Linked DNA regions of Arabidopsis thaliana. The protein of the gene in region 1 interacts with the protein of each later gene in a biochemical or structural test. Each region holds a gene or a part of one and is shown in the gene's direction. Other genes may lie near its edges.

Region 1 (5,488 bases):
TTGGCTTGGGAAGCCATCTTCAAGAAGAAACCAACCGAGAAACCCTTCTGATTTACTTACGCAGTGCTGTTAAGTATGCCGTCTCAGTAAGATGTTTTCTTGACTTGTAATAACAACCTTGAAAGTGAAAATCAATATGAGTCTTCCTTTTTCTGCTTGGAGTCAGGTATCGAGTTTTTTTTTTTTTCCTATGTCCTTTAAAAATGTGTAGTTGTAGATGTAGTTCCCTGTTTTCATGCATTCTAATATTGATTGCAAGTTCAATGAATAGCGTTGTGTTGGCGGTATAGGGTGTCAAATTATGCTTGACGCTTATCAGTCATTACCAATGATGTATGTGACTGTCTATTGCAAATGTGGCCGACTTCATGAACAAATATGAACAATAGTATCATTGGTTACATACACCAGGCATAAAACTACATCATCCTCCAAAGGCACTGCTGATCTCAGGGACGTGGAGGTCTGTTCTGTAGAAGCTGGCGCTATATTGAATACAAAATGCGTGGAGTCAACATTAAAATAGTTTTTATGATTCACTCGGAGATCTTTACTTGATTTGGTCGGCTGTATTATATTCGTGAACTCGGAAGTCAAGGCCTGTCTTGATGGAAGAATGACTCCTTACTTTTAATATATATATAAATAATACACTGGATATGAATGCCATCTTTTGTTTGTTTACTTTTGGCGTCATGTGATTCTTGTATTGTTTACTATTGTTAAATGCAAGTATCAGGTAGTGCTTAAGATGGAAGCATGTGCATCTCGTATGTTGACCATAACCTCTCCAAGAGTTTTCTTGGAGTTGGGAGAATCGCTGACTTGATTAAAGAAAAACAACAAAAGAATATAATAAGAGATGGGAGGTGGGGTCGGCGCCGTCCCTACTCGATGATATTAGTCTATAAAAGAGAGGGAAGGAATGAGGTAAAGAAGCAGAAAGCTGGAGAAAGATGATTTCAATGTTGTTTCCGCGGTCGCCTTTGTGCACAGCAGCCATAGTATTCTACACATGTGTGTGCATTCCCTTGGGGAGGTTGAAGAAGAATGGTGGAGATGCGGATGCGCATGATGATGACGGTTACAACCTAGTGGGAGTGATGTTTGGGGACAAGGAAAAGGAGGAGGAAATTTGCTGCCCCATATGCCTGGTGGAGTTTGAGGCTGAGGATGCGGTGACCCATCTTCCCAGATGCGCTCATCTCTTCCATATCAATTGCATAGAACCTTGGCTTCTCCGTGGCCACCTCACTTGCCCTCTCTGCAGATCATTTGTATTGGCTCCAACTCCTCCTACACAAAATGTCAATAATGCACACTCCTCTTCCACCTTGTATCTCTCTATCTTCTTCTTTTTCTGTATCTTTCTCCATCTACTTGGATACTTGTAGCCTAGCTTCCTTGTTAACACACCCATTCTTTATTTAACATGTATTTTGTCTTAGTTTCCAAGCACATATTGTCTCCATCTCCTTTTCAATCAAGATTTTGTGGATTACTCAGTTTTATGATATACTGTACTAAACAGAGACAAAAGCAGCACGAGTTTAGTTTTACCAGCCTTGCCTAGTGCCTACTGCTGCTCTAGTGCTCTGTTTCCTAATTGATTTGTTACTCTGCGTAAGACCATTAAGTAAACGGGCTAAAGGCAACTTAATAGGCCTTATTTTTAAAACACATTAAAAGTGGGCCTCATTTTAAACCATAACAGATTAAAAGTGGGCCTTTCCATTATAAACTGAAAGTAGAAAAAGTTGGAAGAGAAGAGTAAGTAGGCTACAGTTTCAGTCAGAGGTGAAAGAAAATCTGAAAGCAAAGCAGAGAGCAGCTCCCTTCCCCTCGGCGAGGAGGAAGGAAGAAGAAAGCCAGAGAGAGAGAGAGAGATCATCGCAGCTTCTCCTCCGACCATTTGACTGCGACTGTGATTACAACACACCGTTGATCCTACGAAAAAGGTCAGTCAGACTCTCTTCCTTGTCTGCGTGATTCCATTTTCCGGCGTCTGTCTAGCCTCGCCGTCTTTTAATATCTTTCACTCGCCTTCCTGTCTCTTCTGCACACTAGATTTGATTTTTTCGTAACTTAAAAAAATGTTGTTGTTGTCATTCAAACGCGTCCATGGCTCAGCTACTCCGCGGCTAGGGTTTAGTTATCATTTTTTAATAATATAATTTTTATGGATCGGCGTGCGTGCAGAGGTAATGGATACTGGCGGCAATTCGCTGGCGTCCGGACCTGATGGTGTGAAGAGGAAAGTTTGTTATTTCTATGACCCTGAGGTCGGCAATTACTACTATGGCCAAGGTCATCCCATGAAGCCCCATCGCATCCGCATGACCCATGCCCTCCTCGCTCACTACGGTCTCCTTCAGCATATGCAGGTTCTCAAGCCCTTCCCTGCCCGCGACCGTGATCTCTGCCGCTTCCACGCCGACGACTATGTCTCTTTTCTCCGCAGCATTACCCCTGAAACCCAGCAAGATCAGATTCGCCAACTTAAGCGCTTCAATGTTGGTGAAGACTGTCCCGTCTTTGACGGCCTTTATTCCTTTTGCCAGACCTATGCTGGAGGATCTGTTGGTGGCTCTGTCAAGCTTAACCACGGCCTCTGCGATATTGCCATCAACTGGGCTGGTGGTCTCCATCACGCTAAGAAGTGCGAGGCCTCTGGCTTCTGTTACGTCAATGATATCGTCTTAGCTATCCTAGAGCTCCTTAAGCAGCATGAGGTTTGTCCACCTGCACCGTTTTGATATATGCTAGGGATGGTTATGTCGTTTCTGAATCTCTAACTCTTCCTCTCTCGTTTGCAGCGTGTTCTTTATGTCGATATTGATATCCACCACGGGGATGGAGTGGAGGAGGCATTTTATGCTACTGACAGGGTTATGACTGTCTCGTTTCATAAATTTGGTGATTACTTTCCCGGTACAGGTCACATTCAGGATATAGGTTATGGTAGCGGAAAGTACTATTCTCTCAATGTACCACTGGATGATGGAATCGATGATGAGAGCTATCATCTGTTATTCAAGCCCATCATGGGGAAAGTTATGGAAATTTTCCGACCAGGGGCTGTGGTATTGCAATGTGGTGCTGATTCATTGTCTGGTGATAGGTTGGGGTGCTTTAATCTTTCAATCAAAGGTCATGCTGAGTGCGTCAAATTTATGAGATCGTTCAATGTTCCCCTACTGCTCTTGGGTGGTGGTGGTTACACTATCCGCAATGTTGCCCGTTGCTGGTGCTACGAGGTACTTTCTTCTGTTCATTTTATGCTGCTCTAGCTTTGCATTGAAATTTCCTTGGTCTCTGTACCAAGGTTAGCCCTCTGTGACGCCTCTCTTTCTTTGAATTTATTACAACAAACTGTTTATATGACAGACTGGAGTTGCACTTGGAGTTGAAGTTGAAGACAAGATGCCGGAGCATGAATATTATGAATACTTTGGTCCAGACTATACACTTCACGTTGCTCCAAGTAACATGGAAAATAAGAATTCTCGTCAGATGCTTGAAGAGATTCGCAATGACCTTCTCCACAATCTCTCTAAGCTTCAGCATGCTCCAAGTGTACCATTTCAGGAAAGACCACCTGATACAGAGACTCCCGAGGTATGCCACTTGAGCAAATCATTTGAAGTGTGTTGGCTCCTTTATTTCTGTTGCCCATTCTTTCTTGCATTTCCTCATGGGTTTTGGTGAGCTTATCTAAGTGTAACTGCAGTTACAATAAGAATTTTCTAATTTAAACAGCTGGGCTGGTAAATAATGTTCGTCCAGTTAGATATGTATAAGTATTCCTTGATTGATGACTCTGGTTGTTACCAATCTTAGTTTTGTAAAATATGCCTTCTATGTAAATTATAGGTTGATGAAGACCAAGAAGATGGGGATAAAAGATGGGATCCGGATTCAGACATGGATGTTGATGATGACCGGTATGAAATATATATGTTTCCTCCCCTTTTTATTTTTGGTTCGAGTCAGCGGTGTAATGTTTACTTAATGTGGGATCGCATTGTGCAGTAAACCTATACCAAGCAGAGTAAAAAGAGAAGCTGTTGAACCAGATACAAAGGACAAGGTACTACAGCATTATCTCTTAATTGTTTCGATTTCTCAGACACTTTTTCTGGTACAAACATTTGAAGTCATTAGTTCATCTAGGTTTACAGCATTTTCCAGAACAGCACAATGTGCTCTGATAACATTACACTTTTTCTCATCCCGAGACCCAAAACCTAAAGATTCCAGAATGAGTCTCATTCTGACATTAAGTCAGTTAGTTTAAGCTGGAGATACATTCACATGAGGGTAGCGAATCTTTAGCTACGGTTAAATCATTTAGCCTAGGCTATTTATTTAGTATGCTCCCAGCTCCAACAATTGACCTGATTAGATAGTGTGACCGTCTAGCCAAGCTGAGCTGAATCATCTCTGCCTCTCAATTCCTAAAGCCGTCTCCTTTTCTTCCGAGATTAATTTATTTATCATGGCATGTTGTTCGTGCAGGATGGACTGAAAGGAATTATGGAGCGTGGAAAAGGTTGTGAGGTGGAGGTGGATGAGAGTGGAAGCACTAAGGTAAAATGAAGCAGTGGACAGGGCTGAAAAGGGTGGGAATGGTGGTTTTCTAAAGTGGTTAGTTTTGATTGCAGGTTACAGGAGTAAACCCAGTGGGAGTGGAGGAAGCAAGTGTGAAAATGGAAGAGGAAGGAACAAACAAGGGTGGGGCGGAGCAGGCGTTTCCTCCTAAAACATAAGACTCGGAGCTTCTAATTTCTTGCTACTTTTTCTGTCTATCAAATGTTGCTAGTTAAGTTTCTGGAGTTGTTGTTGTTGTAAGCACTCCTCTGTTTTAGAGGATTGAGCACGGATATGTATTTATTCGTTGCATGTCTGAATGATGATATGATATGACAAGACGAGCTATTCCTTTTGCTATATATTTATTGATTGGGCCGAAGAGATCTGCGTCTGCCCACCCCAAAAAAATAAAGAATTGATGTGCTAAACGCAGCAATGAACATCATCAACTAGTGAAGTGGGTGGAGAAGATGTTTTCCTGTAACACAATTGATTTCTAACTCTAAATTAAAAAAATGTAAATCCCTTTAAGACTATTAAGCGTCTCTCTGTCTGTCTCTCGTCGTTCTCGTTTTTGATTGCTTAGTTTTTTCCCGGGAGACTGAAACATGTTCACGGCGGCAGCTTCGTCAAGCGTGGGAAGGTGGCGGACGGCGTTTCTCTCTCTCAGGGACGAAATCTCAACCACTCCACCGCCGCCGGTTCCTCTGTTGCTCGAGGATCTACTCTTCTCTCAATCCCATTCCCTTATCTCTGCCGTCTCTCACCTCCCACTGCACGAGCTCACTTCCGATTGCTTGTTCCTGCTCGATTTGGTTTCCAAAGCTGATGGTCCTGACTGGATCCCTGTCTCTCGTCATACTTGTCAACTGGTGCGTCTTCTCCTTCTCTCCTC
Region 2 (7,993 bases), on another chromosome or scaffold:
AAACACATAGCATTATTTTCTTTAATACGAGCAAATTCTCCGAAATTTGTAAAATACATAGAATTTTTCTATCAAAAATAAAAGTAAGAGTGTAGATTTGTATTTGATGGGATTTTTATTCTAACTGTGATATCTATATGACAAAATCTCTATTATTCTAACTTTTTTCTTTTTCTTGATATCATTCTAACTTAATCATTAGACTACAATCAATTTGTTTAGAATATATTTGTGTTGCGCTCATAACGATTCTTTTCAATATATATTGTTTGATTAAAGCTTTTAACAAAGTACAGTTTGCTTTCTAAATTATTTTTAACACGTATCCAGTTTTTTAAAAATATATAAAAATATATTCTTCACACCTATCATTTTTTATAAATAAAATATTTTTAACATTTAAAGATATATAAGATATTTCTAATAGTATAATTTATTTTTAATACTTATCATGTTTCTTAAATGGTTTGAACGCTTCGTTTCATTAGTTTATCCAACCTACCTCAGTTATGATATTACACTTTAGTAAAATAAAAAAAAACTGGTTATAAACTTAAAATATTATGCTTTGCTCGTATTAAAGAATTTCAGTACTTGTATATCGTTTTTTTAATTATTATTATGATTTATGACCTCGCGATTCGTGATGGTTAGTAGTAGACTAGTCGTAGTGGACAACTACTGTAAGAAAAAAAACTAAAAATAGATAGACACACACGCTAAATTAAATAAATCGTAAATCACGATTACATATTTATGTTTGTACTTGAAAATGTTATCGCTTTACGTGTGGTGATGGTGAGACAACAGTGTTTGTGTTTGGACGGGATAGATGTCAAATTACTCAAACGTGCGACTCTAAATTACACAAACTCTCATTTATTGCCCATCCTCCATCGATATCTTCACCCCTCTAATATATTTTAAAAATGTTATTTATAACTTCAACAATACACATTCGGTTTCATTTACAATTAATCCTTGCGTTATTATTACTTCTAAGCTATAGTATCTTGTACTTCCTTCCCCTGCTATTATTTAAACGGAAAGAATCCAGCTAATTCCGATCCACCTGCTCCTAGTAGCAATCTATCTATAAACAAACAAAACTAAAGTATAAATTATCACGAACATCTTAACAATAATAGTCAATGCAAGTGGTTCTTGTGTATACAAAGAATTAATAGGAACTACTATCCACATCCTTACGTTTACATTTTTCACAACCAATCATGCACTAAATTAACCTCTAATGAAAAAGTTAAAAATAAAGAATAATATTATCAAAGAATAATGATAATGTTCAGCAACATGTTGGACCAAGAAATGTTCAAACAATACTATAATATTGAAATATTTAGTAGTATTAGTTTTGTTCTTGTTTTTTTTATATGAGGAACATCAGCCATATCGTATAAATCGTGATAAACCGAGTTTATAAATCATATTTCGTATCTCGCCGAGAAGAAAGACGACGTAGCATCTTTACGAGTTGAACATTTCTCCATCACGTGATGTTCGATGAGTTAACGCATCTCAAGAGCAATTGGCTCTTCAATGTCATATCCGTAAATATTAGTCAAACTTGAGGGCAATGACTCAATATAAAAAGCTTTGTCGTGCCACGAGGGATCTGGAGACAAGTCTGACACATTGAATGAAACTCTAGCCGTTAGATCTCCGTCCTCCGCGCCATCTGACAAAATCGACGGTTTTCCAGATAGGTGTAAAACTCATCGCGAAGGAGTGGATCACACCTCTGTGGAGTACAGCTGGCAACTAATATTCCGAGCCGATAACGTCGAGAAATGTAGCCGATCAAGTCGTAGTTATAAGCAGTTCTACTTATCATTCCTGCTTATCGCAGTTAGCTTTTCTTAGAGTGATAGCTAACTTATTTTATCAGCATCCAATTATCTGTCACCTTCTCTTATTAAAATCTCCATTTCTGCAAGTTTTAATGTCCGTATATATATCTCGAAGAGAGAGAAAATCCCTTTTTCTCTAGATAGAGAGAGAGAGAGAGAGAGAGAAGAAGAAGCTTTTTAATTTAGTTTTGCTTTCTTTCAAGTTTCCTTTTTTCGATAGAGAGAAAAAGAGTCCAAAAATCAATCCATCACCTCTTTCGTCTCTGTGGTCTTCTTCTTCTTCTTCATCGATCTCTCTCTCTTTATGGTGAGTAAGCTTCACGCTTCTTTCTTCTACCTTTGTTGCCTCTGTTAATGGAATCTAGCTGTTTCGAGTTTTATTGTATATATTTTTTTATCCTTTTGCCCAAACTTTTTTCTGGGTTTTGCTTTATTTTTTCATCCCCCTTTCTGATAATTAATTTGCTTTTTTCATGTAGTAAAAAAAGATTCTTTTTTTAAGCTATTAAATTCACATCTTCCAATTCCAGGAAGACCTAAATTTCCTCTTTTTTTTGCCGTTATCTGCAGAGATGCGAAGTTTCTGGATAATTATTCAGATATAGGTTCCAAGTTTTTAGCTTTCATTTCTAACTTCTCTTTTCGTGTTTTTTAATTTCCATAATCTGGAAACTCAGATTTGAGCTCATTTCGGCCATTGTTTATATTGCAGATCTGGTGATAGTTTGGTTAGTTGTTGTGCATCTGAGTTAGAAAAAAGTCTTTTAAGGAAGTGAGAGAAAACATGTCTTCTCTTAGTAGAGAGCTCGTTTTCTTGATCTTACAGTTTCTCGATGAAGAGAAGTTTAAAGAGACTGTTCACAAGTATGTCTCTTTTGCTCTGTAGATTTCCTTGGATCTAATTTACCAACTGACCTGTTTAGCTCTTGTGTTGGTTAATGCATTATTGCTTTGTCATGTTCAGGCTTGAACAAGAATCTGGGTTTTTCTTCAATATGAAGTATTTTGAGGATGAGGTTCACAATGGAAATTGGGATGAGGTTGAGAAGTATCTCTCTGGTTTCACTAAAGTAGATGATAATAGATACTCTATGAAGATATTCTTCGAGATAAGAAAGCAGAAGTATCTCGAGGCTTTGGATAAGTAAGTCATGGTTGGGGATTTGTTTTTTTTTTTTCCTTTCAGTGAGATAGCAAAAGAAAAAGAGTCTGATTTGTGATTGACCTTGGTGACTTTTTTGTTGGTAGGCATGATCGTCCCAAGGCTGTGGATATACTAGTGAAGGATTTGAAAGTGTTTTCAACTTTTAATGAGGAGCTTTTCAAGGAAATAACACAGCTCTTGACATTGGAGAACTTCCGGTAATGTTATATTGGATTAATGTAGTGTCCAAAGCCTTTGTTTTCTTAGCCGTAGTTCAAAAGAAAGATTGATGCAGAGTATTAAGTGTTTCGAGTTTGATCAACTTTTAGGGAGAATGAACAGTTATCCAAGTATGGGGACACCAAGTCTGCAAGAGCGATCATGTTGGTGGAACTCAAAAAGCTGATTGAGGCGAATCCTTTATTCCGTGATAAATTGCAGTTCCCTACTCTTAGAAATTCAAGGCTGAGGACTTTGATCAACCAGAGGTTTATTGCTTTGTCCCTTAATCTTTTTGTCTTATTCACTTCAAGTTGTTGTTGGCATATTAATTCATTCTATCTTTTGTTACTGCATAACTCGCAGCTTAAATTGGCAACACCAGCTTTGTAAAAATCCAAGGCCAAATCCAGATATCAAGACTCTTTTTGTGGATCACTCTTGTGGCCCTCCAAATGGCGCACGAGCTCCATCTCCTGTGAACAATCCACTGCTTGGAGGGATACCAAAGGCTGGAGGATTTCCTCCTTTAGGCGCACACGGGGTAATTTAGTTTCTATCATTTTTATTTATGTTTTCCTGAGGCCAAGTGTTTGATTGTCTCTATGTTTCCAGCCATTTCAACCAACGGCGTCACCTGTTCCAACACCTCTTGCTGGTTGGATGTCTAGTCCATCCTCTGTCCCACATCCAGCTGTCTCAGCAGGAGCCATTGCACTTGGTGGTCCATCAATCCCAGGTACTACTTGCTTATCAAATGTGTATGTTTCTTCAGACACACTTTGTGTGATCTATGCAATTTGCTTACAATGGAACTCCTTTCCTATCTTTGGTATAGCGGCGTTGAAGCACCCGAGAACTCCTCCAACTAATGCTTCTTTAGACTACCCGTCAGCAGATTCTGAACATGTCTCAAAAAGAACAAGACCAATGGGAATCTCTGACGAGGTGAATCTAGGCGTGAACATGTTACCGATGTCATTTTCAGGGCAGGCCCATGGTCATTCTCCGGCTTTCAAAGCACCTGACGACTTGCCCAAGACAGTTGCGAGAACTTTGAGTCAGGGCTCATCTCCCATGAGCATGGATTTCCATCCAATTAAACAGACCCTGCTTCTAGGTGTGTTTCTTGCTCTCTGTATGTGCTTCTGTGTAATAATAATAATAATAATCATCAGCAATTTTCTAAATTCGTTTGAATTGTTGTACCAGTTGGTACAAATGTAGGTGATATCGGGCTGTGGGAAGTTGGTTCTCGCGAAAGATTAGTACAGAAGACGTTCAAAGTCTGGGATTTGAGTAAATGTTCAATGCCCTTGCAGGTGCCTATGCATAGCAACAACAAAATGTTAACTTTTATATATGTTATGAATCTACAGTGACTGAATTAGTTGTATCTTCAGGCTGCTCTGGTGAAAGAACCTGTCGTTTCTGTCAACCGTGTGATATGGAGCCCTGACGGTTCCTTGTTTGGTAAAGAACTCGCCTTTAAATTTATATCTGCACATGAATGCAACTTTATAAGTCACCAAACGTTCTGAATTGCAGGAGTTGCTTACTCGAGACATATTGTACAACTATACTCTTATCACGGAGGTGAAGACATGAGGCAACACCTTGAGGTCTCGTACCATTCACAAGCCTCTCTCTTTAACAATCGTTTTTTCCCTTGGGGATTTTCTTGTAATATTGTGATTATTTCAGATTGATGCTCATGTTGGTGGTGTGAATGATATTTCCTTCTCGACTCCAAACAAGCAACTATGTGTAATAACTTGTGGTGATGACAAAACCATCAAGGTTTGGGACGCTGCAACAGGTGTCAAAAGGCATACTTTTGAAGGCCATGAAGCTCCTGTTTATTCCGTTTGTCCTCATTACAAGGAAAACATTCAGGTAAGCTTAGCTAACCGTTGATCTCCCTCCCTTCTATTAAATGTTTCAGTTTTTTGATGTGTTGTATTTTTCCTGTCATCAAGTTCATATTTTCAACAGCTCTTGATGGGAAAATTAAGGCTTGGTTGTATGATAATATGGGTTCCCGAGTTGACTATGATGCACCTGGTCGCTGGTGTACTACAATGGCTTATAGTGCCGATGGTACTAGGCTATTCTCTTGTGGGACGAGTAAAGATGGAGAGTCTTTCATTGTTGAGTGGAATGAAAGCGAAGGAGCTGTTAAAAGAACTTATCAAGGATTCCACAAGCGTTCTCTAGGTGTTGTGCAGTTTGATACAACTAAAAACCGTTATCTAGCTGCGGGTGATGATTTCTCCATCAAGTTCTGGGATATGGACGCTGTACAGCTTTTAACTGCCATTGATGGCGATGGAGGCCTCCAGGTACATGAACAAAAAATGCCTAACTAGAAAAGTTTTCAGATATTCTTTTGGAGTTTCTTCTTAACTTGCGCTTCTAATATATTTAAACTAGGCAAGCCCGCGTATCCGGTTCAACAAGGAAGGCTCTCTCCTGGCCGTGTCTGGCAACGAGAATGTGATCAAGATTATGGCAAACTCAGATGGTCTAAGGCTATTGCACACTTTTGAGAACATATCATCTGAATCCTCCAAGGTACTTAAAATCTAAGCTAAGCTTTAAATTACTTACACCCAATTGAAAGATTTAGTCAACACTTCATTCTACATTTGCAGCCTGCAATAAACAGCATAGCAGCGGCAGCGGCAGCTGCTGCAACAAGTGCTGGTCACGCAGATCGATCAGCCAATGTAGTTTCCATCCAAGGAATGGTAAGAAATACAATTCTTTTTTGTTCTTTCACTCACTTTATTTTATCTTTCTATTATTCATCACTTGCCTTTTTAGAATGGAGATTCGCGGAATATGGTGGATGTGAAGCCAGTGATCACAGAAGAATCAAATGATAAGTCTAAGATATGGAAGCTTACTGAAGTCAGCGAGCCTTCTCAATGCAGGTCACTGAGACTCCCTGAGAATCTGAGAGTAGCCAAGGTATATAAAATATACATTTTCTGAGCCATGTATAGGGTATATATATATAGCTGTTCTTTTTTCTGACAATAAAACCAATGACTTTTGGCAGATATCAAGATTGATTTTCACGAATTCGGGAAATGCTATTTTGGCTCTGGCATCAAACGCAATTCATCTTCTATGGAAATGGCAGCGGAATGAGCGCAACGCAACTGGAAAGGTGAAATTGAGACTCTTTCTTAGTCAAATAATGATAAGTGTCACTGATCTCTACATCTCGATTTTCCGTGTAGGCGACAGCTTCTTTACCGCCTCAGCAGTGGCAACCAGCTAGTGGGATCCTCATGACTAACGATGTTGCTGAAACCAATCCCGAGGAAGCTGTACCTTGTTTTGCTTTATCCAAGAATGATTCATATGTAATGTCAGCCTCCGGAGGAAAGATATCCTTATTTAACATGATGACGTTTAAGGTAATGGGGACACATAGATGCTGATCTTTTGATGTTCTGTGTATGCAATTTGACTGACTGTTCTTGGCTAATAATTTGCAGACAATGGCGACTTTCATGCCCCCACCACCGGCTGCTACTTTTCTTGCTTTTCATCCTCAAGACAACAATATCATCGCTATTGGGATGGATGATAGCACGATTCAGATTTATAATGTCCGTGTTGATGAGGTAATGCATCAAAACTCAAGAGAAGAATGTAGAAAAGAAGATGAAGTGTTTTGTTTGTTAATATGATGGCCATCATGTTCCTTGTTTGCTCCTGCAGGTGAAGAGTAAGCTTAAAGGTCATTCAAAGAGAATAACTGGTCTTGCCTTCTCCAACGTATTAAACGTGTTGGTTTCGTCTGGAGCAGATGCACAGGTTCCCGCCTTAGACCATTTTTTTTTTTTTTTTTGAGAATCGATGAAGAAAAGATCAATAGTCTTTGAAATGTTTTTGTTTCAGCTTTGTGTTTGGAACACAGATGGATGGGAAAAGCAGAGAAGCAAGGTTTTGCCACTTCCACAGGGAAGACCAAACAGTGCACCTTCAGATACGCGTGTTCAGTTCCATCAAGATCAAGCTCACTTCCTCGTTGTGCACGAGACGCAACTTGCTATATACGAAACTACCAAGCTCGAATGCATGAAACAGGTATTTTATATTTATAGGCCGCTCTCTCTAAGATCTGCAATTTATTGCATTTGAAAGATGATTAATGATTGCAATGTTTCAGTGGGCTGTTCGAGAATCATTAGCTCCAATCACTCATGCCACATTCTCATGCGATAGCCAATTGGTCTACGCGAGTTTTATGGATGCAACAGTTTGTGTATTTAGCTCTGCAAATCTACGGCTGCGTTGCCGGGTCAACCCTTCTGCGTATCTACCAGCTAGTCTCAGGTAAACAGAGGAATCTTGAAATTTACCCAAAAAAACAGAGGAATCTTTAAATTTCGGAAAGAACGTTTCTAAACATCAATCGGTTAGTTGTTTATATATCATAAAGCTCCTCTTGTTGACTTGTGCAGCAATTCAAACGTACATCCACTAGTGATTGCTGCACATCCGCAAGAACCAAACATGTTTGCAGTTGGTCTCTCAGACGGGGGAGTGCACATATTCGAACCGCTCGAGTCTGAAGGTAAATGGGGAGTCGCTCCACCGGCTGAGAACGGGTCGGCTAGCGGTGCACCAACTGCACCTTCCGTTGGAGCCTCTGCATCTGATCAGCCTCAGAGATGATCTGATCCGAGAGCCACCTACCTCTCTGATTCCCTTTCTTCTATTTAAAAGTCTTTTCTTTCTTATT
Region 3 (4,745 bases), on another chromosome or scaffold:
GGAGTGGATACGTTTGGTTAATTTGTATGAAACATTTTGGGTACTAATTTGTATTGGAATCTGAGATTGATGCTTTTAGAGGGTTTTAAAATGATCAAAAAAGGAAAACGAGGGCCACACTTCGTAAATTTTGTGTAATGTCTACACGCGATCGACGTGAATATGAATGGTTGACTGGGTTTTTTCAAAATAAAAAAAAAGTCAGGAGTTATGGGGCCCATGCATGCGTAAGTTACGATTATACCCCTATTGTTTATTTGTTTTCGTTCCTCTCCAATGTAATTTGAATTTGAAATCACGCCTCTATTAAATATGTCATCGTATAATGTCCATATTGAACATTTAACTAAACTAAAACAATGTTCATGGAGTGATTCTTAAGCCAACATTTTTTCTTGTTCAAGACATAGCATTTTGTAAGTTTGATGGTTTAAAGTAATGTACTTATTGTCCAAAACGAGTTAGCTAGGTAACATGGAGTTAATCGGAAAAACAGAACATATTTCCAAAAAAAACATACTTAACACATAATCTACTTATTATCACAAGTAGGTTACTAGTGCCAAACCAAAGAAGAAAACCCCTAAATTCCTTTTAATGCTAGAAACGAAAGCTGGTATTAAGATTTAACTGATGATTTAAAACGTATCACCAATAATTAACACATAATCGCTCGATTAGCAACAAAGTCGTTGTAGTATAGTGGTAAGTATTCCCGCCTGTCACGCGGGTGACCCGGGTTCGATCCCCGGCAACGGCGATTACTTTAGTTTTGCCTAATTCATCGAACCCTCTGATTCATTCCAAATGTTTCCCAACTCGCGTTGATGGTTCGGGTTCCTCTGCTTTTAAGACATTAGTTACATGCTCCTGCACTTTCTACAAAATAAACGTCATAATCCAAAAATATTACATGATCATACATCATATATGCCGCCGAACCTTGTTATGGGACAAACTCGTAAACCCCTTTTTCCTTTTATGTTCAATGAACTATACAAGTTTTGGTTATGAATACATAAATAATGATGGACCCAGCAATTAATCCAAAATTTGGATATTAGATACTAAAGCTTAAAATCAACATGTAACCAAACTAAATACTTTATAGAACATAGTAAATGGTATTCACCAATCTTTATATCATTTGTAAGGTACGAAGAAGGTAAAAAAAAGAGAGAGCCAGTGTACATACAACTAATCAGGACAAAAGTAGTCAAAATTGTTTCTAAAGTGAGATTTGTATGCAAGAAAAAAGTGATAATTTTTAATTGAATATATCATTATGATGTTAATCACACGGCTTCACTGTATAAAATAAAATTTTAAAAACCAATCAAATGGTGTGTTTTTCGGTCACACAAGTAAGGGACCCACACTGAAGAAACGGTCCCACTGTGTCTCCTCCTTTCTTTTCTCTGTATTATTTGGTCATTACTCATTTTACATACTCACAGAAAAAAAAAAAGATTAGAACATAAACACACGTTACTAAGCGTAGTTATCCTCTGCACCTTAACATACACCTCTTATATTCACCTCACGTAATCTCACCCTTCCAAAACCATGTATTTACACGTGGACGATCGATACACAAGAACAATGATTCTTAATATGAACTCAATGTACTTGAACACACACACGACCCAATTTTTACATTAGATGAAAAAAATATTATTATTTGTTGGAGAAGAAAGAGAGATTCTTCTTCTTCGATTCCAGCGAAGGAAAAGCGTATTCCTCGTGAGCACTAACTTCTCACTCCTCTCTTCTTCTTCTTCATCAGTCTACGTTCACACAATCTTTCACCCACCTATTCAAAGCTCTCTCCGGAAGTTTCGAGGGGTTGGTTGTTGGTTTTCCCGATGACTTCGGATGGAGCTACGTCGACATCAGCAGCTGCAGCTGCGGCGGCGGCAGCAGCGGCGAGGAGGAAGCCGTCGTGGAGAGAAAGGGAGAATAATCGGAGGAGAGAAAGACGGAGAAGAGCTGTAGCTGCGAAGATATACACTGGGCTTAGAGCTCAAGGTGATTATAATTTGCCTAAACATTGTGATAATAATGAAGTCCTTAAAGCTCTTTGTGTTGAAGCTGGTTGGGTTGTTGAAGAAGATGGTACTACTTATCGCAAGGTGAAGACTTTCTCCATTTTTTCCAGATCTGAGCTTGTTTTATTGATGTTTTTGATGTTTGAATCTGAATTCGTTGATTTCAATTGTGGTTAAATGGGTTTGAATCTGAGAATTTGAGGGTTTTCTCAAAGTGAATTTGAATCATCAGAAACTATGGATGGATCTGATTTCTCAAAGTGAATTTATGGGTTTTCTTTCTAATTTTAGAGTTATTATTGGTATGCTAAAGTCTTAATCTTTTATGTATGATACTTGGTCCAAAGTCATTGCATTGTGTTTCTTTTGCTTACCTGTGATTGATTGATGTTTGATTGGTTATTGTTTTGCTTTTGTTGGAGTATCAGGGATGCAAGCCTTTACCTGGTGAGATAGCTGGGACTTCATCTCGAGTAACTCCATATTCATCACAGAACCAGAGCCCTCTTTCATCAGCCTTTCAAAGTCCCATCCCATCTTACCAAGTTAGCCCGTCTTCTTCATCATTCCCGAGTCCTTCTCGCGGTGAACCAAATAACAACATGTCCTCTACATTCTTCCCTTTCCTCAGAAATGGTGGCATTCCTTCTTCTCTTCCTTCCCTCAGAATCTCAAACAGTTGTCCAGTTACCCCACCGGTCTCATCGCCGACTTCTAAGAACCCGAAACCGTTGCCTAACTGGGAATCTATCGCTAAGCAATCCATGGCCATTGCTAAACAATCAATGGCGTCTTTTAATTATCCTTTCTATGCGGTTTCTGCACCTGCTAGTCCGACACATCGCCACCAGTTTCATACCCCGGCTACTATACCTGAATGTGATGAGTCTGACTCTTCCACTGTTGATTCTGGTCATTGGATAAGCTTTCAGAAGTTTGCACAACAACAGCCATTCTCTGCCTCTATGGTGCCAACCTCTCCTACCTTCAATCTTGTGAAACCTGCGCCTCAGCAGATGTCTCCAAATACTGCTGCCTTCCAAGAGATTGGTCAAAGCTCTGAGTTTAAATTTGAGAATAGCCAAGTTAAACCCTGGGAAGGAGAGAGGATACATGATGTGGGTATGGAGGATCTTGAGCTTACACTTGGAAATGGGAAGGCTCGTGGTTGACATAAACAACTAGGCAAACCCAAATGGCATGTCATTGGAATATGAGAAACTAATCCTCTTGAGTATTTTCTTCTTCGTCCAGGTATTTGGATCTTTATGGAATCTCATATGTTCTTCACTTATTATCCAAATATGCTGCCCAAAGCCTTCTCCATGGAAGCATTGGAGTGTTAGAGTGGTTATTCAATTCATGAATTTGGTTTCAAAAGCATTATTTGTAGATAAAAAAATCTTAAGATGTATGATTCTGTTTCCTTACATATGTTACATTAATTAGTGGCTTGAAACTGTCTTGTGTCTTGTCAAATTGCTTAGTCATATATCATTTCTTGAGCCGATTCTGTCTCTTAGCATCAAGATCCAAAATTTGCAAAAACATTTGCTTTTACAAAATGTTAAATTCTTTATTTCCCTGCAATCAATCTTTTGGTCAAACACTAACACATCATCAAATATCTAGTTAGACAAAGCTAGCTAGGATAGTAGCATAATCAATGAACACAGCTAGCTACAAATGGTACATTCCATAACGAATACAAACACTGGTCACTCATCTTCTTAATAGTCCAATCCCTGTTTCTGATCAAACAAGTAATGGAGAATGCAGATCCAGTTTGGTTTCAGTCTCATGGCTTTTTGTTTCTCTCTCAGTCTCAACATTACATTCTTGGTATCTGAAACAAGCTGTGAGATGATCATTAACAATGCCAGAGGCCTGCAAGAAGGAATACATAACAGTAGGACCAACGCAGCGAAACCCTCTCTGCATCATATCTTTGCTAATGTACTCTGCCTTTGGGGACTTAACCGGTACTTGACGACCATATCGATAGCCATTTCTTAATGGCTTGTGGTTCACAAATCTCCAACAATAATTACTGAACGATCCAAATTCCTGCTTGACCTGTTTTCAGATTACAACCAAAGCTATTTCAGTAAACACATAGTATCTACAATTTCATAGCAAAACACACAGTGCCTACCTTGAGAACAGATTTCGCGTTCTCTACAATTGCTCGCAGTTTCTGTTCGGATAGAATTAGACACCCATTAACTCTAAGAGACATCAACCTCTTCTCTGTGAATTGTGCTATAGCTGAAGGATCAAACTCTTCAAAGAGCTTCCTACAAAAAAGAAACCAAAACTTCTGATATCACACCAAACCAAAACACAAAATAGCAAATTCACCGTCCTAAGTTTACCTAAAGTCGTCTCTTCTGCGTAGGATTGAAGGCCAGCTAAACTCAGCCAAAGCTTGTGAGAAGACAAGTAGCTCGAAGAGTTTCTTGTCATCACGAACTGGAACACCCCATTCCTCGTCGTGGAACAAAACATAGATCGGGTCTGTTTGATCAATCACCATTATTATTATTAACTGAAAAACTTACATATCCAATGTCATCAATCATCTTCTACATTTTTTTTTGTCCTTATTTATCAACTACAATACCTAGTTTTTGCTAGGTGCAATTAATGTGTTGTTGACATCTATGAAAACTGATTGTAACCTTTATTAACTTTAAC
Region 4 (5,623 bases), on another chromosome or scaffold:
TTTTAGTTACTTTCAACTCTAATAACTTTTACTTCTTCTTTTTTTATTCCCTGTCCTAAGATATATTCCCATCCGTGATACCTTGAGAGTTAAGACGAAACAATACTAGTAGAATAAATTAGATCATAGAAGAAATCTATGTAGACAACACGGGGATTTCAATCTTTTGTTTTTAAATTAAGTTATCTAGTGCAATATTAGTGAAATATAGATTTTGTCCTTAAGACATTTTATCCTTATATGAATATTAATATTTGATACTAATAAGTAATGACTAAATTATTAGAGCTTTTGAAATCATGGGACATGCTGTCGGAGACTAATAAATATGAATCCAAAACAAAATTCCATGGCGCAGCCGGATTTTGCATGCGTTTAGAACCAAACATCCCACTTCCTAGTGAAAATCTTTTCTTAATTCATAAATCATGGAGAAGTAACTGTAATTTACATATGTACCCGTAAGCATATATATATGATCAGCAATTTGACTCGTATAAATTTTCAGAGTTCATATTTATGAGGTTAGAGAATTGCATTTGTACCAAAACAAAAACGAAAATGTAATCTCAGAAAAACGTAATTGCATTTTTAACAAGCTTTCATTTCAAATAATCTTGAATTCCAAAGAAGGCTGTTGTTCTGCAGAACATTATTCTATTCACACTTTAATAATTCGTCAAAAGAACAAAAGAAACAACAACCAACTAGCTAGTAACATCATTTGTTTAAAGAAACTTCCATTTGAATTCCAATATGGTAACATTATAGCATACGAAAGCACCTTAGTCAATGAGATTTGCACTTTTCCTTTGGAAAATTAAGTTCTGTATAATGGTTGAATATATAATATTGTGCGTGGGATAATCCATATGTGTACTACAAATAAAATGAAAATTGTATTGTAACAAATAAAATCAGAAGTTACGTAGTGGATAAGATTGAGAAAGAGAAGAAGTCCTATGTGGGTATTGCGAGGATAAGGTTGATAAAGACTCTGCGTCAAATGTTTAGTATCCTCATTCTTCATCATATTTTAAATAAAATACAAAAAAATTCTTAAATAAAATAAACAAATTGAGATTAGATTCTTTACATATTGCTTAATGATCATTACTTATGCGGTAAACAATCATTTTATTTGGAGACTTTATATGTCCCACTAAACTTCGGAAACTTGTAATTATAAATTATCGCCCAATAGTGTGTAACTCACTAACTTAAGCTATTGCTAAATAACATATTTTAAAGATATTCAAGTTAGGATCAGTGTTTAACGTAGAATTGCTGTTGTGGATTCACAGTTGAATAAGAATTGTAATCAATCTAATTAAACCGGACCTAATAAACAAATGATGTTAAGAAATAAAAAAAAATTGTCGATTTTTATGAATCATAATTTGTCAAAAAAAAAATATCCTTGAAGTTTTGTTTTGGATTAGTATAATAAAAAAACAAAAACAGTAAAGAAGATAAGTAAGATAACGATAATACAACAGAAAATTTCTGGTAAAACATAAAGTACTTTCTCAAGTTTTTTTTTTTTTTTTGTTGATAAATTATACTTTCTCAAGTTGACAAAGTAGCTTTGAATATTTCATAAGAATCAACACGTTAAGCTGCACTAACAGCATGAAATCGTGAATATTTATTTAGACCAAATGTCAATTAGTGCGTACTGTCGTAGGCACCTTCGTCACCCCACGATCGCTTCCGTCATATAATTTTCAGGAATATCCAACGGTTTGTGTTTTTCCTCTTATTAACGGTTTGTGTTTTTCCTCTTATTACTCCAAAATAAATATCATAAGACAAATATTACTTTGCACTAACAAAACAAAAAAAAAAAAAACAATAAATCAATACTACCAAAAAAAAACCGAGTAACAATTTAATTGGTCAACAGAAATTGATCAAAACCAAATCGGACACGGAACTGCTAATTATATACAGTAGTATTCTTTTCCAAGTGAGATATAAATCACTAATTTCAGTTACCTTCTGGAACAGTAGAGCTAGAGAAAAATTCAAAGACTTTTACAAAGTCTTGTAAGCAATTTACCCTAAACAATAAGATATTGGTATTCTTCAGAAAACAATCAAAATTCTCTTCATATCATTTTTTTTTGTTCGTTCTTCTTCAGAAAACAATCTTCATTTTTTTTGTTTTTGAATTTTTTTTGGTTCAAGTAAAACCTAACACCACACGAGTCTTTAAAAGTATGAATCTTTAAAGAGTAAACACATCTTTAAACAAAGACCACAAGACACAGAATAAAACCAGAAAAATCAGAACCCAAAGCCAAAGCGTTTTTATCATTTCTGTCTTCTTCTGTGTAAACAGTAAGACCCCAAAGGTCAAACCTTTAGGCTTTGTTTCTTCCTTTAAGGCTTTTTTCCGACGTTTATATCAGATTTCTTCTTGTCAATTTCTTCATTTGGACAACCTCCATAATCCAAGACCGACCCTTTTCCTCTAATCTCTCCTGGTAATTGACTTCATCAACCAATTTTTGTTTCCTGGTCCTTTAGTCTTTTCTCTAAGCTTTAGATACTTGTTTGATTATGTTGTTTTGCTTTACTCTGGACTTTAATCCTTATGTAAGCTGTTTAAACCAGTCAATTTGCTATTAAGAAATAGATCTTAGTGCTCTGATTGTTCTGAATTGGGACTATGGAAGAGATTTATTGGTTAACTGGTTATGGTATTGAGAATTGCATAGATTTGGTAGGTATCAGAGGAAGAGTTTTTTTCAATTGATTTGGTGAGAGTTACATAATTTTTTTTTTCAATTCTCAATGGATTTTTGATGATAGTCTTTGCTTTGGAGAATCAGCTCTGAGATTTGGATCATAAAGTTTCAAACTTGCTTTATCTATGATGAATTAGTAACAAAAGGCTTAAACTTTAGGAATGATCTCTTGAAGCTTTGCATGATTTAATAAGCTTTTGTTAGAATCACAGTGCTTGAGGTTTTTCTGTGTGTGACATTGATAAGATTTTGACATTTGGGAACGTTGTAGTTGCAGCTGAATGGTGGAACAAACTGTGGTTAGAGAACATATCAAAGCGAGAGTCATGTCATTAGTGAGGTCTGCAGAGCCATCCTCATATAGGAACCCGAAGCTTTACACGTTGAATGAGAATGGTAATAACAATGGTGTCAGTTCTGCTCAAATCTTTGATCCAGATAGGTCAAAGAATCCTTGTCTGACTGATGATTCTTACCCAAGCCAAAGTTATGAGAAGTACTTTCTTGATTCGCCAACTGATGAGTTTGTTCAACATCCTATTGGCTCTGGTGCCTCGGTTAGCTCATTTGGCTCTTTAGACTCATTTCCTTATCAGTCAAGACCAGTTCTTGGATGTTCCATGGAATTTCAGTTACCGTTGGATTCAACCTCTACTTCATCTACAAGGCTTTTGGGAGATTACCAAGCGGTTTCTTACAGTCCGAGCATGGATGTAGTGGAGGAGTTTGATGATGAGCAAATGAGATCAAAGATTCAAGAGCTTGAAAGAGCGCTTCTCGGCGATGAAGATGATAAAATGGTTGGAATAGATAACCTCATGGAGATTGACAGCGAATGGTCGTACCAAAACGAAAGCGAACAGCATCAAGACTCGCCCAAAGAATCATCGTCTGCAGATTCCAACTCTCATGTAAGTAGCAAAGAAGTGGTGTCTCAAGCCACTCCAAAGCAAATCTTGATATCTTGTGCTCGTGCGCTATCTGAAGGAAAATTAGAAGAAGCTTTGTCAATGGTAAATGAGCTGAGGCAGATAGTTTCTATCCAAGGAGACCCTTCTCAGAGAATCGCAGCTTACATGGTGGAAGGTCTAGCTGCAAGAATGGCCGCTTCAGGAAAATTCATCTACAGAGCATTGAAATGCAAAGAGCCTCCTTCGGATGAGAGGCTTGCAGCTATGCAAGTCCTGTTTGAAGTCTGCCCTTGTTTCAAGTTCGGGTTTTTAGCAGCTAATGGTGCGATACTTGAAGCAATCAAAGGTGAAGAAGAAGTTCACATAATCGATTTCGATATAAACCAAGGGAACCAATACATGACACTGATACGAAGCATTGCTGAGTTGCCTGGTAAACGACCTCGCCTGAGGTTAACAGGAATTGATGACCCTGAATCAGTCCAACGCTCCATTGGAGGGCTAAGAATCATCGGTCTAAGACTCGAGCAACTCGCAGAGGATAATGGAGTATCCTTCAAATTCAAAGCAATGCCTTCAAAGACTTCGATTGTCTCTCCATCAACACTCGGTTGCAAACCAGGAGAAACCTTAATAGTGAACTTTGCATTCCAACTTCACCACATGCCTGACGAGAGTGTCACAACAGTAAACCAGCGGGACGAGCTACTTCACATGGTCAAAAGCTTAAACCCAAAGCTTGTCACGGTCGTTGAACAAGACGTGAACACAAACACTTCACCGTTCTTTCCCAGATTCATAGAGGCTTACGAATACTACTCAGCAGTTTTCGAGTCTCTAGACATGACACTTCCAAGAGAAAGCCAAGAGAGGATGAATGTAGAAAGACAGTGTCTCGCTAGAGACATAGTCAACATTGTTGCTTGCGAAGGAGAAGAACGGATAGAGAGATACGAGGCTGCGGGAAAATGGAGAGCAAGGATGATGATGGCTGGATTCAATCCAAAACCAATGAGTGCTAAAGTAACCAACAATATACAAAACCTGATAAAGCAACAATATTGCAATAAGTACAAGCTTAAAGAAGAAATGGGTGAGCTCCATTTTTGCTGGGAGGAGAAAAGCTTAATCGTTGCTTCAGCTTGGAGGTAAGATAAGTGACAAGAGCATATAGTCTTTATGTTTCATAAAACATAATTATGTTTTTACTGTAATCTTGGGTTATTGTGTAACTGGTTAAATCATCTCCATGTATTATTACCAGAGGTTAGGGGTGATCACAGGTACTAAAAGCTAATCTAACACTTATGGAAGAATTTTTCTTTCTTTTTTTTCCCTATTATATAAAAATAATTAGAGTTTTGGTTCTAAACCTATTTGCTAAGTGTGAATGAGTCTTTACATGTTCATATTTCAGTTCAAATGGTTAAATTTGTTAAGGTTCTCACTTACTATTAGGCTTATCAGTTTTAACTCTTAAACTCAAAAGCTCATTAGATCCATAAAACTCACAAAAGGCATCGTCATTCTTCATCAATCACTAGTGTATCAGTACGAAACTAGGAAACGTTACATTTTTCAGCATCATTTTTTTTACATTCCAACGAAACGAAAAGGAAAACTCTAGTTAAGCAGAGTTAATACGAAATCACATAACCAAATCATCCTCAAAAGCTCTTTTAAACTTGAAGGTCTTGCTTTCCATTAACCACATTCTGCTTCTTCTCATCATCTTTCATCTCCACTGACTTCTCATCTTTCTGAGCATCTGCAGATTTCTCTCCTTTGTTTCCACAGTAGATGAAGTATAGTATCAATTGCAGTGTCCCTAATGCACATCCAAACCCATTTGGGATCTTCGCAACAACAAAAACCCAAAGTTAGAAACAAAGTTTTGATATTTACCAAAGAAAACAACACAAGAAGGAGAAATTGTAACTTACTGCAACAAAAGGGTCA

The links.
Region 2: the proteins of HD1 (region 1) and TPL form a complex in vitro, tested with the Arabidopsis thaliana proteins (one study listed by BioGRID).
Region 3: the proteins of HD1 (region 1) and BZR1 form a complex in vitro, tested with the Arabidopsis thaliana proteins (one study listed by BioGRID).
Region 4: the proteins of HD1 (region 1) and SCL1 form a complex in vitro, tested with the Arabidopsis thaliana proteins (one study listed by BioGRID).

Annotation. Positions count from the first base shown.
Region 1 is NC_003075.7:17,895,774-17,901,261, reverse strand, and holds HD1 (histone deacetylase 1), read left to right. Parts: upstream 1-1,752; 5' UTR 1,753-1,958; intron 1,959-2,199; 5' UTR 2,200-2,204; coding exon 2,205-2,732; intron 2,733-2,816; coding exon 2,817-3,257; intron 3,258-3,387; coding exon 3,388-3,618; intron 3,619-3,873; coding exon 3,874-3,944; intron 3,945-4,032; coding exon 4,033-4,090; intron 4,091-4,518; coding exon 4,519-4,590; coding exon of another isoform or gene 4,591-4,599; exon of another isoform or gene 4,600-4,664; coding exon 4,665-4,769; 3' UTR 4,770-4,984; downstream 4,985-5,488. Other genes in the region: AT4G38150 (Pentatricopeptide repeat (PPR) superfamily protein), read left to right, coding at 1-51; AT4G38140 (RING/U-box superfamily protein), read left to right, coding at 957-1,394; AT4G38120 (ARM repeat superfamily protein), read left to right, coding at 5,202-5,465. UniProt on the Arabidopsis thaliana protein: Responsible for the deacetylation of lysine residues on the N-terminal part of the core histones (H2A, H2B, H3 and H4).
Region 2 is NC_003070.9:5,415,019-5,423,011, reverse strand, and holds the start of TPL (Transducin family protein / WD-40 repeat family protein), read left to right. Parts: upstream 1-1,978; 5' UTR 1,979-2,175; exon of another isoform or gene 2,176-2,438; 5' UTR 2,439-2,473; exon of another isoform or gene 2,474-2,580; 5' UTR 2,581-2,652; coding exon 2,653-2,732; intron 2,733-2,832; coding exon 2,833-3,012; intron 3,013-3,116; coding exon 3,117-3,230; intron 3,231-3,341; coding exon 3,342-3,500; intron 3,501-3,597; coding exon 3,598-3,775; intron 3,776-3,846; coding exon 3,847-3,970; intron 3,971-4,069; coding exon 4,070-4,351; intron 4,352-4,443; coding exon 4,444-4,553; intron 4,554-4,634; coding exon 4,635-4,704; intron 4,705-4,779; coding exon 4,780-4,853; intron 4,854-4,935; coding exon 4,936-5,127; intron 5,128-5,210; coding exon 5,211-5,573; intron 5,574-5,664; coding exon 5,665-5,805; intron 5,806-5,885; coding exon 5,886-5,981; intron 5,982-6,057; coding exon 6,058-6,204; intron 6,205-6,295; coding exon 6,296-6,406; intron 6,407-6,479; coding exon 6,480-6,659; intron 6,660-6,740; and 10 more. UniProt on the Arabidopsis thaliana protein: Transcriptional corepressor. May repress the expression of root-promoting genes in the top half of the embryo to allow proper differentiation of the shoot pole during the transition stage of embryogenesis. Regulates the expression of PLT1 and PLT2.
Region 3 is NC_003070.9:28,183,844-28,188,588, forward strand, and holds BZR1 (Brassinosteroid signaling positive regulator (BZR1) family protein), read left to right. Parts: upstream 1-1,660; 5' UTR 1,661-1,865; coding exon 1,866-2,132; intron 2,133-2,476; coding exon 2,477-3,220; 3' UTR 3,221-3,302; exon of another isoform or gene 3,303-3,567; intron 3,568-3,603; exon of another isoform or gene 3,604-3,803; coding exon of another isoform or gene 3,804-4,124; 3' UTR 4,125-4,203; downstream 4,204-4,745. Other genes in the region: AT1G75090 (DNA glycosylase superfamily protein), read right to left, coding at 3,804-4,124, 4,204-4,345, 4,424-4,565.
Region 4 is NC_003070.9:7,506,687-7,512,309, forward strand, and holds SCL1 (SCARECROW-like 1), read left to right. Parts: upstream 1-2,014; 5' UTR 2,015-2,489; intron 2,490-3,024; 5' UTR 3,025-3,034; coding exon 3,035-4,816; 3' UTR 4,817-5,115; downstream 5,116-5,623. Other genes in the region: SWEET1 (Nodulin MtN3 family protein), read right to left, coding at 5,344-5,520, 5,608-5,623. UniProt on the Arabidopsis thaliana protein: Probable transcription factor involved in plant development.